Caenorhabditis elegans: one gene and its partner. The protein of the gene in region 1 purifies or fractionates together with the protein of each later gene. This does not show direct contact. Each region holds a gene or a part of one and is shown in the gene's direction. Other genes may lie near its edges.

Evidence for each region.
Region 2: the proteins of valv-1 (region 1) and Y10G11A.1 fractionate together in Caenorhabditis elegans (co-fractionation; one large-scale study listed by BioGRID). This does not show direct contact.

Annotation. Positions count from the first base shown.
Region 1 is NC_003282.8:7,443,874-7,446,977, reverse strand, and holds valv-1 (Cysteine-rich protein 1), read left to right. Parts: upstream 1-1,641; 5' UTR 1,642-1,670; coding exon 1,671-1,710; intron 1,711-1,761; coding exon 1,762-1,862; intron 1,863-2,102; coding exon 2,103-2,216; 3' UTR 2,217-2,339; downstream 2,340-3,104. Other genes in the region: B0496.1 (BTB domain-containing protein), read right to left, coding at 1-81, 127-588; unc-82 (Protein kinase domain-containing protein), read right to left, coding at 2,618-2,721, 2,770-2,840.
Region 2 is NC_003282.8:16,422,752-16,430,552, forward strand, and holds Y10G11A.1 (5'-nucleotidase), read left to right. Parts: upstream 1-1,885; 5' UTR 1,886-1,898; coding exon 1,899-2,227; intron 2,228-2,912; exon of another isoform or gene 2,913-2,913; coding exon 2,914-3,003; intron 3,004-4,580; coding exon 4,581-4,950; intron 4,951-5,977; exon of another isoform or gene 5,978-6,103; intron 6,104-6,736; coding exon 6,737-6,853; 3' UTR 6,854-7,144; downstream 7,145-7,801.

The DNA of each region.
Region 1 (3,104 bases):
GGATTCAAATGGCATTATAATTTCAGCTAACTTGTTGTTTTCCAGTTTTTGCTTAAGAATCGGGGAATTCAAAGCAAGTATCTAAAAGTAACTTATGTAACTGAAACACAACTCAATTTAACTTACTCCAGAATTGGCATATATCATTTTCTTTCCATCTTCAGATCGAATCAGGACATCCAACCACTTGCTCTTCTTTTCAAAATCAATGAAATCTTCGATTGCAATTCCAAAAGATGACTTTCGAGTAATTTTCAGTTTCACCTGATTGTATCTTCGATCAATAGATTTAATCATGATCGTATTAACATTTGGAGAGAACTCAATTTCGTTTTTGATGTTGATAACCTTCCCTTCCCCAGTAAACTGAAGGTCCATCTGAGCCAAGAATTTCCAACGAAACAGACTTTCCTTCTCACATCTTATTTCAAATTTTCCGTTAGCTGTGTTCAGAACCGTCCAGAATCCAGTCAAGTGGAGTCCAAGAATGTTACAAATGGGAATTTCAACTTCTTCCCCGACTTTTGAGTCTTCTGGAAGTTTCAAAAGCTTGCTCGCTGTCGGAATTTTCATCGTAATATCGTTCATTTTGATTTCTGAAAAATTTCCAGGGAAAACTATAACCCTTTAAAAGTTGAATTTACATGTGATACTTTTGATCCAAATCACTTTGTTTGTTGCCAGAAATATTGTGAAATACATTTTGTTAGAGTGAATTTCTTAAAACCACGATTTAAATTTTTCTTCCACGTATTTCATATGAATTTCACTTTTTTTCCAGTTCACGTTCTTTCACAAAATTACAGTTCAAATTTTCAAAAATCTTCGAATTCTTTCAACACACTTTCTCCGCAATCCATCAACATTCCATTTGTTTCCCTTTCTATTAATTTCCAAATTTCCGCCTGCTTTTCAAATTTCCATCGGAAATTCAATCAAAAAGACAATTGATACAAATCTCAAAGACCTAAAGCCCCGACTTCCATTTTGAATGAGGTCAATTTCTTTGATTGACAGAATTTTTTAAAATAAAAAGGGCTGAAGTGAGAGAATGAAAAATCGTTCAAATTTGGGTTAAGAAGGTCTCCTCTGTCCACTTTCATTTTCGAATCTATTCATCTCATTTGCATTTGTTTTCTTCCTCATTCGTACCGGTCTCCGGTATATTGTCTTGTGTTTTTTGATTCATTTCATGACTCATTTCAACATATTTTTTGTGAGAACCGTCGTTTCTGTCTATTCCTTAAGACACCCACAAAATAAACAAATAAACCATTTGGTTTCGTTCTTTTTTCCAACTTTTCTCTGTTCCTGTCCACTATTAACTTTCGAAGTCTCGACTTTCGTGTAGTCGATTCTGTCCGCAAAAGGAGTTAATCAAAGTTCCGCAAATAAATTTTCAGATTAAAATGTTTCCATTATTCTCTCTCTTTTTATCTCACTTTACCTCTAACTCTAAGTTTAGCTCGTTTTGTTTCTGTGACTCATTTCTTTTCTCTCCTCCTCCCACTCAGCTGTTTCATTCAAAATTTCCGAAAAAAGTTCAGTGATAAGTGATAGGCGTGCATGTCTTAACCATCATATAAATACTTCTATCTATTGACATTTCTTCGGTACTTTCTTCGAATTTGATTTTATTTTAGTTCCTCTGCAAAACCATCGTAATAATCATGCCAAACTGTCCAAATTGCCAAAAACCTGTATACTTCGGTAAGTTGTTTTTTCAAGTTATATGTCATGATAACTGTTTAATTGTTTCAGCTGAACGAGTTTCCTCTCTAGGAAAAGATTGGCACAGACCATGCTTGAAATGTGCAAATAAAGCATGCGGGAAAACATTAAGTGCTGGAAGTCATTCAGAGGTATGTTTTTAAAAGTTAACTTATAGTTTTTGGTTATGGTAGGAGTACTACCCAAAGTTCTTTATCGTTTTTTTCAATTCAATCTATTTTGATAAACAAAAAAAAAAGAGTTGAATTAGATTTTTAAAATTTTTGCTGTACTATTGAGTTGTGGGTTTTGAAAAAGTACTTGCCGACTTTCAATTTTCAGTTTTCAATCAACTTCAAAAAAAAGTTTCTAAAAAATTAAATAATTTTCAGCACGAGGGTAAACCTTATTGCAATCGTTGTTATGGCGCTCTTTTCGGACCAAAAGGATACGGTCACGGAGGAACTGAATCACACACTTTCCTTCAAGGAACTACTGGAAATTAAAATTCATAATTTCGTTTGCCTGTTTTCCAAAGATGCTTCAAGCTCACATTCATCGCCTACTACGACTTCATAATGTCAATTATCTGGCCTAGCAAACTTTTCAAAATAAAATATTTTTACTGCAAAATCAAAATTTTGAAACAATGATGAAAGAATGAATGAAGACGACATGTAAAGAGTCATTGTTGACTAGGTTTTTGGGTGAGAGAGAAGATGACATTTTTAATAAAAAAAGAATAATATCGGACACCCGATAGTTTCTCCATACGATATTTACAAAAAAATGAACTGTAGAAAGTGGTGAGCAAGAATTTTTAAGTTACAAAAAAAAGAGTTTTCAAATTATTTTTAAAGTTTACAAAAAGAGAAGGAAAAGAAAGATGGCAAAACTGAAAAAAAAGTTAATAAATATTTGGATCATCATACCAATGACGGCGTTGATCTGTTAGACCAGGAGTGTATGAGTAACGATTGAGAGCGCTGGACGTATCACGTGAGGTTGAACCTGAAAATCTATCAATTAAAATAATAGGGTTTCTGTGAAATAAAGCACCTGGATATTTTCTATATTGGGCAACATATGGCTCGCGAGTTGTGGAAACCGGATTTGAAGATGTGTAGTTTCTGAAATTAATGGAATCATAAGTAGATTGTTAAGGTAACTTTTGATCACAGTTTAATGAAGTAGTACAGTGCGTCCAACTTCTATAGCACCCCCCTCCAATTGGGCGGTTTGGAGCTTTTGAAAATATTTTTAGGAAAAGTGTTAGTGCAGTTCGATAGCTTAGAAACTTGACTTGGGCACAGTTTCTTCTATTCTTCGACAGAAGTTTTGAAGTTTTTAAAAGGTTTTCTAAATTTCTCATAACTTCTACATATAAATACAGC
Region 2 (7,801 bases), 9.0 Mb from region 1:
CGCTGAATTTTTCACATTGTTCACGTGGAGTCAGAAAGTCCCATTTCGTTTTGATCTTCGAAAAATGCAAGAAAAGAGACGCATACATCTCATCTCTTTTCGCATGGTTAAGAGCGTGCTGACGTCACAATTTTTCTGGAAAAATATTCCCGCATTTTTCGTAGATCAACCCGCAATGAGACAGCCTGACACCACGTGATTGTTTCAATGATACCTCCCTCCCTTTACTGTGTCCATTTTCCACGAGTCGGGGATAATAATCGAATTTTTCACGCTTGTTGAATAGTTGCGACTGACCTAGAGAAAATATTGACGCTTTAGAATTTATTTTTTCGGATTTTCAAATCTACTATTAAAATTCTTATTTATCGATCCTTGAATTTTGCGAAAAATTTTTTTTAAAAACGCAACACTGCCGCACGGGGTTTTCCTCCGCCTCTTTTTCACAGTTTTTTTGTTTAAATTGATTTTTTCAATAAAGTTGCGATTTTACTAATTTTTCATCTTTTTTCGAATTGGATAACATTTTCATCCGAAAAAAGAGAAAAATACAGGCAAAATTGAAACTATTGGAAAAATCCATAAAAAAAGCAGTGTAAAAGGGGCGGAGGAAAAACCTGTGCGGCAGTGTTGCGAAGCTACGCTCCGCCCCCCACTTTCTGTGCGACAAACTTTTTTTTGCAAAATTCAAGGATCGATAAATAAATTTTAATAGTATGGATTCAGTTATAAGATTTTTTTGCCAAATTCTACGATAAATATGATGTATGTGGGTCTCGCCACGCTTTTTTGAACGTAGCTTTAAACTACTGTATATCAGGGGTGGACGGCAAACAGCGGCCAATTGCTGGTAATTTGCCCATTTGCCGGAAAATATCGTTTGCCTAACACCCCTGTTGATATACTTTTATGTAGCTTCCTTAAAAATATATAAAACGTCGTTTTCAATTAATTTGTACAAAAAAATGCTGTCTGAAACTCGGAATTTATGTTATTTTCTATAAACTTTTTTTAAAATCGTTTCGCATTTAAAAAATTCCTATCCACTGCAACTTTTTCCTCACGAGGGACGAGGAAAAGTGGTTTCTAGGCCATGGCCGAGGGGCCGACAAGTTTCAGCGGCCATTTATCTTGCTTTGTTTTCCGCCTGTTTTCTTTCGTTTTTCATCGATTTTTTTCGTTTTTTCTTAATAAAACTGATAAATAAATATTTTTTGCAGATGCTAAAACAATTTCCAAGTTAAAAAATCATGTATTCAGTGGGCAAGCAGCGGTGAAAGTGGGCATTGTAATATGATGGATTACGGGAATACAAAACCTAAACTTTTTCTGAAACATGATACATATGATGCTTAAATGCTGAGACTACCTGATTTTCATAACGAGACCGCTGAAAAAGTTTTGAGGTTTCCAAAATTCAACTTTTTTGGTGAAAAAGTCGAGATTTTCGTACAAAAAGTTGAATTTTGAAAACCACAAAACTTTTTCAGCGGTCTCGTTATGAAAATCAGGTAGCTTCAGCATCTAAGCATCATATGTATCATGTTTCAGAAAAAGTTTAGGTTTTGTATTTTCGTAATCCATCATATTGCATTGACCACTTCCACCGCTGCTTGCCCACTGAATACATAATTTTTTAACTTGGAAATTGTTTTAGCATCTGCAAAAAATATTTATTTATCAGTTTTATTAAGAAACAACGAAAAAATTCGGTTAAAAAACGAAAGAAAACAGGCGGAAAACAAAGCAAGATAAATGGCCGCTGAAACTTGTCGGCCCCTCGGCCATGGCCTAGAAACCACTTTTCCTCGTCCCTCGTGAGGAAAAAGTTGCAGTGCTATCCAAACTCCAATTTTGTATGAAAATTCTCCCCAATTTTTTCCAGCTCCTCCCCAAAAATGGTTGGTTCCTTAAAACTCGACGAACTCCTTTCCCTACCACAAGTCCACGTTAAGGACATTAAATCACTAACTGATAAGCTTCAAAACATCGTCTCGGGCGGTGCAGATCAACTGATGGTCATTTCGGATTTCGACTTTACACTGTCCAGATTTGCCGATAAATCCGGCAATCGATGCTCATCGTGCTATTGTGTATTCGATAGTGCTGTTGGAACGAATAATCCGGAATGGTGTCGGAAATTTGTCGGATTGTATCATAAATATGGTCCAATTGAGCACGATCATTCTCTGAGCATTGAGGAGAAGGTTCCGTTTATGGAAGCATGGTAGGATATCGAAAATCTGGGTTTTTTAGTGAAAATTTGAGATTTTTAGTGAAAATTTGAGATTTTTAGTGAAAATTTGAGATTTTTAGTGAAAATTTAAGATTTTTATGGAAAATTTGAGATTTTTAGTGAAAATTTGAGATTTTTAGTGAAAATTTGAGATTTTTAGTGAAAATTTTAGTTTTTTAAGTGAAAATCTGGGATTTTTACTTGAAAAATCGTGAAAAAACCTGAAAATTGAGCTTTTAGTGAAAATAACTACTTGAATATGAAATTTTCAGCTTAAAAATCCATATTTAGACGAAAAATTACGGTTTTCAGTCTAAAAAAATTGAAGAAATAACTGAAAATTGAGATTTTCATGAAAAATTCGTATTTTTCGGTGAAAAATCGATAAAACAACTCGAAAACGCACTGATTTTTCGATTTTTAAGTATAAAAACCGAACTTTTCACTCTAAAATTGATCGTTTCTCAACTGAAAATCGAATTTTTTGAGAAAAAACAATCCCAATGAATGAAAATTCATACTTTTTGGAAATTTTTGGTGAAAAATCGATAAAATAACTGTAAAATTGGGCTTTTTTGGTAAATAACTGTAAAATTGGGCTTTTTTGGTTTAAAAAAATCGATTTTTAAATCAAAATTTAGCTAGGATTACTAAAAAATCCACACAATTCTTTGCAGGTGGCAACAATCTCACGGACTAATTATTCAAGGAGGATTCAAGAAACAGGCTATTGATGACTATGTGGCACATTGTAATATTCAATTGAGGTACTGCAACATGTGTGCTTACCTGCTACGTGGCCGAGAAATGCGGAAAAATTCGGCCACCACAAGTTTTTTCGCGGCCACCGAAATTTTTACAGGAGAAAAATGGGGGGTTTATTGGCGATTTTTGGTAGAAAAAATTTTTAATCAATTATTTTTCAGAAAAAAATTTTTCGGAAAAAAACTTCAAATCAGGCCAGTTTCCACATTTTTAGTAAAAAATTATAAAAATTAAAAATTAAAAAAAAAACTTAAAAAAAAAAATTTTTCAGCAAAAAATTATTGATTTTTTCCGCAAAATTGATTTTCTACAAAAAAAATCGATTTTTCCAAAAAAAAAAATTGATTTTCCAGGAGAAATAATAAGAGATTTTTCAATTAAAAATTTTTTTTTCAGCAAAAAAACCTCAAATTCGGGCCATTTTCCTAAAATTTTGACCATAAAATTTTACCCCAAAAACCTAACATTTTGACCATTTTTCATAATTTTAGTAGAAAAATAAAAATTTCCAAAAAATATTTTTTCAGCAAGAAATAATTGATTTTCTACAAAAAATCGATTTTTTTTCAAAAAAAAAACCAAATTTTCCGAGAGAAGATGCCAATTTTTGAGAAAAATTGATTTTTCAATTAAAAAAACCTAAAATTTTGGTCATTTTTCATATTTTTAGTAGAAAATTATAAATTTTAATGTCTGAATAAATAAATATTTTCATTTTTTTAAATTCACTGCAACTTTTTCCTCACGAGGGACGAGGAAAAGTGGTTTCTAGGCCATGGCCAAGGGGCCGACAAGTTTCAGCGGCCATTTATCTTGCTTTGTTTTCCGCCTGTGTTCTTTCGTTTTTTACCGAATTTTTTTTGTTTTTTCTTAATAAAACTGAAAATAATATTTTTTGCAGATGCTAAAACAATTTCCAAGTTAAAAAATCATGTATTCAGTGGGCAAGCAGCGGTGGAAGTGGTCAATGTAATATGATGGATTACGGGAATACAAACCCTAAACTTTTTCTGAAACATGATACAAATGCTGCTTAGATGCTGAGACTACCTGATTTTCATAACGAGACCGCTGAAAAAGTTTTGAGGTTTTCAAAATTCAACTTTTTGTGCGAAAATCTCGACTTTTTTATCAAAAAAGTTGAATTTTGGAAACCTCAAAACTTTTTCAGCGGTCTCGTTATGAAAATCAGGTAGTCTCAGCATTTAAGCATCATATGTATCATGTTTCAGAAAAAGTTTAGGTTTTGTATTCCCGTAATCCATCATATTACATTGCCCACTTTCACCGCTGCTTGCCCACTGAATACATGATTTTTTAACTTGGAAATTGTTTTAGCATCTGCAAAAAATATTTATTTATCAGTTTTATTAAGAAAAAACGAAAAAAATCGATGAAAAACAAAAGAACACAGGCGGAAAACAAAGCAAGATAAATGGCCGCTGAAACTTGTCGGCCCCTTGGCCATGGCCTAGAAACCACTTTTCCTCGCCCCCCGTGAGGAAAAAGTTACAGTGAAATTAAAAACAAAATTTCCAAAAAAAAATTTTTTTTTTAATTCCGAAATTTATTTTTCCAGAGACAACGCCGACATAATGATGAAAAAGATGACGAATCACGCGGTGCCATTCATCATTTTTTCCGCCGGAATCGGAACAATCATCGAAATGTACCTCCGACATAAATTCGGCCGAGTCGAATCGAACACCCATGTCGTGTCGAATATGATGGGATTCGACGACGACGGATATGTTAACTCGTTCTCCGATCCTCTGATCCATGTTTTCTGCAAGAATTCATCGGTTATGCCGGCGGATCGCACGTTTTCCGAGCAAATTGAGGGAAGGAAGAATGTGATTCTGTTGGGTGATAGTGTTGGAGACGCTTTTATGGATGTTGGTGTTGAGGAGGAACAAGTTTCACTCAAAATCGGATTTGTTAATCATGATGTGAGGAGCATTTTTCAACGGAAAATCTAGAAAAAATCGATTTTTCCACATTTTTCCCGGAAAAAATCCGGTTGACGCAGTATTTTTTCTCGCTTTTTTACATGTTTTCCCAAAAAAAAAAAACTCAGAATGTCACGCTCCGCCCACAAAATGGATGTTTCCATAAAAATGGGCGTGTTTTACATGCCCCGCCCATGAAATGGAAGTTTCCACCGAAATGGGCGTGTTTTCACATGCCCCGCCCACAAAATTGATGTTTCCACCAAAATGGGCGTGTTTTTACATGTCCCGCCCACAAAATTGATGTTTCCACCAAAATGGGCGTGTTTTTACATGCCCCGCCCATAAAATTGATGTCACCACCAAAAGGGGCGTGTTTTTACATGCCCCGCCCATAAAATTGATGTCACCACCAAAATGGGCGTGTTTTTACATGCCCCGCCCATAAAATGGATGTTTCCACCAAAATGGGCGTGTTTTTCACAAGCCCCGTCCATAAAATTGATGTCACCACCAAAAGGGGCGTGTTTTCACATGCCCCGCCCATAAAATGGATGTTTCCACCAAAATGGGCGTGTTTTTACATGCCCCGCCCACAAAATTGACGTTTCCACAAAAATGGGCGTGTTTTTTACATGCCCCGCCCATAAAATTGATGTTTCCACTAAAATGGGCGTGTTTTCACAAGCCCCGCCCACAAAATTGATGTTTCCACTAAAATGGGCGTGTTTTCACAAGCCCCGCCCATAAAATTGATGTTTCCACTAAAATGGGCGTGTTTTCACAAGCCCCGCCCACAAAATTGATGTTTCCACTAAAATGGGCGTGTTTTCACCAGCCCCGCCCACAAAATTGTTGTTTCCACCAAAATGGGCTTGTTTTTTACATGCCCCGCCCATAGAATTGATGTTTCCACCGAAATGGGCGTGTTCTCGCAAGCTCCGCCCATATAATGGCAAAATTTTCCCCGAAGACAATGGAATCAGAACTAGTAACCCGTGTGAATCTCACTTTTTCAAATGTTTCCTTGAAAAATTAAAATTCAGAAGCCCCGCCTACTTTTTGGCGCGAAAATTCAAACTTTCCTGAAAAACCCCGAAAAGGGCGGAGCCTGAAAAACACGCCCATAAAATGGTTTTTGTTTCCAAGTGGGCGTGTCTTTGAGGCAGCCCACTTCTTGGCAGGAAATTTTTTTTTTTGAAGATTTTACGAAAAAAAAAACTCGAAAAAGGACGGAGCCTAACGGAGCCAAGCCACGCCCATAACATGGTTGTTTTGGCCAAAGTGGGCGTGTCCGAACAAGCCCCTCCCATTTAGAACCGCGCCTTGCAAAATTCTAATGGGCGGAGCAAAACAGCCATTAAATGGGCGGGGCTTGTTTGAACACGCCCACTTTGGATAGAACAACCATTTTATGGGCGTGGTCTGGATCAGTTAGGCTCCGCCCCTTTCTGATTTTTTTCGTAAACACTTTTGAAATCGAAATTCTGAAATTCCCAAAAAAAAATTAGTGCAAAACCATATTTTGCCGAAAATTTTCGGCAATTTGCCGGCTTGCCGGTTTGCCGGAAATTTTCAATTCAGGCAATTTGCCAATTCGCCGGAAAAAGATCGTTTGCCGCCCACCCCTGGAAACAACCATTTTATGGGCGTGGCGTATCGTGCTGAACTAGTGAAAACTAGAAATTTTGAATTTTCGCGCCAAGAAATGGGCGGGGTTTCGATAACTCGCCCCCACTTCTTGGTACAATCGAAAACAAAACCCCAATAATTCTGATTTTTTCAGGCTGACAAGCTCGTCGACAAATATCTCAACTATTTTGACATTGTCCTCGTGGACGATCAATCGATGGATATTCCCAATCAGATTTTGGAGGCGATTTATAATAATAAAAATTACTGAATTATTCGTTCCTTAAAAAAAATGTTTTTTCCCAAAAATTCTCATTTTTCAATTTTACCCCCCACCAAAAAAACCCCCGATTTTTCATTGTTTTCCCTGTTATTTTTCCTTTTTTTTTCCCAATTTTTACTCATTTTCCTCCGTTTTTACCAAAAAAAAAATCAAATCTGGAATATCAGAACAGCTTTAAGATTTCCACTCTTTTTTATGGCATAATTTTTTTTTTCTCCGCATTTTCACCATTTTTTCTTTTTGAAAAAAAAATTTCCAATAAATTGTTAGCTGCTTTTTAAGATATTTTTGTTGGCAATTTTGGGGAAAAATCATCAATATTGAATAGAAACTTCGTAGCCTAGGATTTCCAAGTTAGGCCACGTGGCCTAGGTTTTGCAAATTCGGCCACGGGAGCATTGACGGACAAAATGGAAATGTGCTAATTTTAATTCCATTCATCTGTACAAAAAAAAAGAGAAAAATCGGAATTTCCAGTGAAAAAACCACGTGGCCTAGGTTTTGCAAGCTCGGCCATGACTTTTATGTAAAAAAATGTCGAATTAAACTTTTATTACAGGCTATTTACGAGAAATGCTTAAATTTAAAATACAAAGGTAGGATTTCAAGCAGTGGCCTAGGTTTTGCAAGTTCGGCCACCGAATTTAAATTTAAACAAATGGTTAGATTTTCCCAATAATGCAAATTAACAAGTTTACAACAGTTTTTATTCAAAAATATCATAATTCGTTCGAAAATCTCAGTATTCTCTATTAAATCACCGCGTGGCCTAGATTTTGCAAGTTCGGCCACAAAATTCAATAATGACTTTAACCAAACGATCTAGAATTTCAACGGAATTTCACTTTTTTCAAACTGTATTCAAAACTGTCAAAAAAATTAAAAGTTCAATTGAAATAACCCAGAATATTCAACTAAATCGCCGCGTGGCCTAGG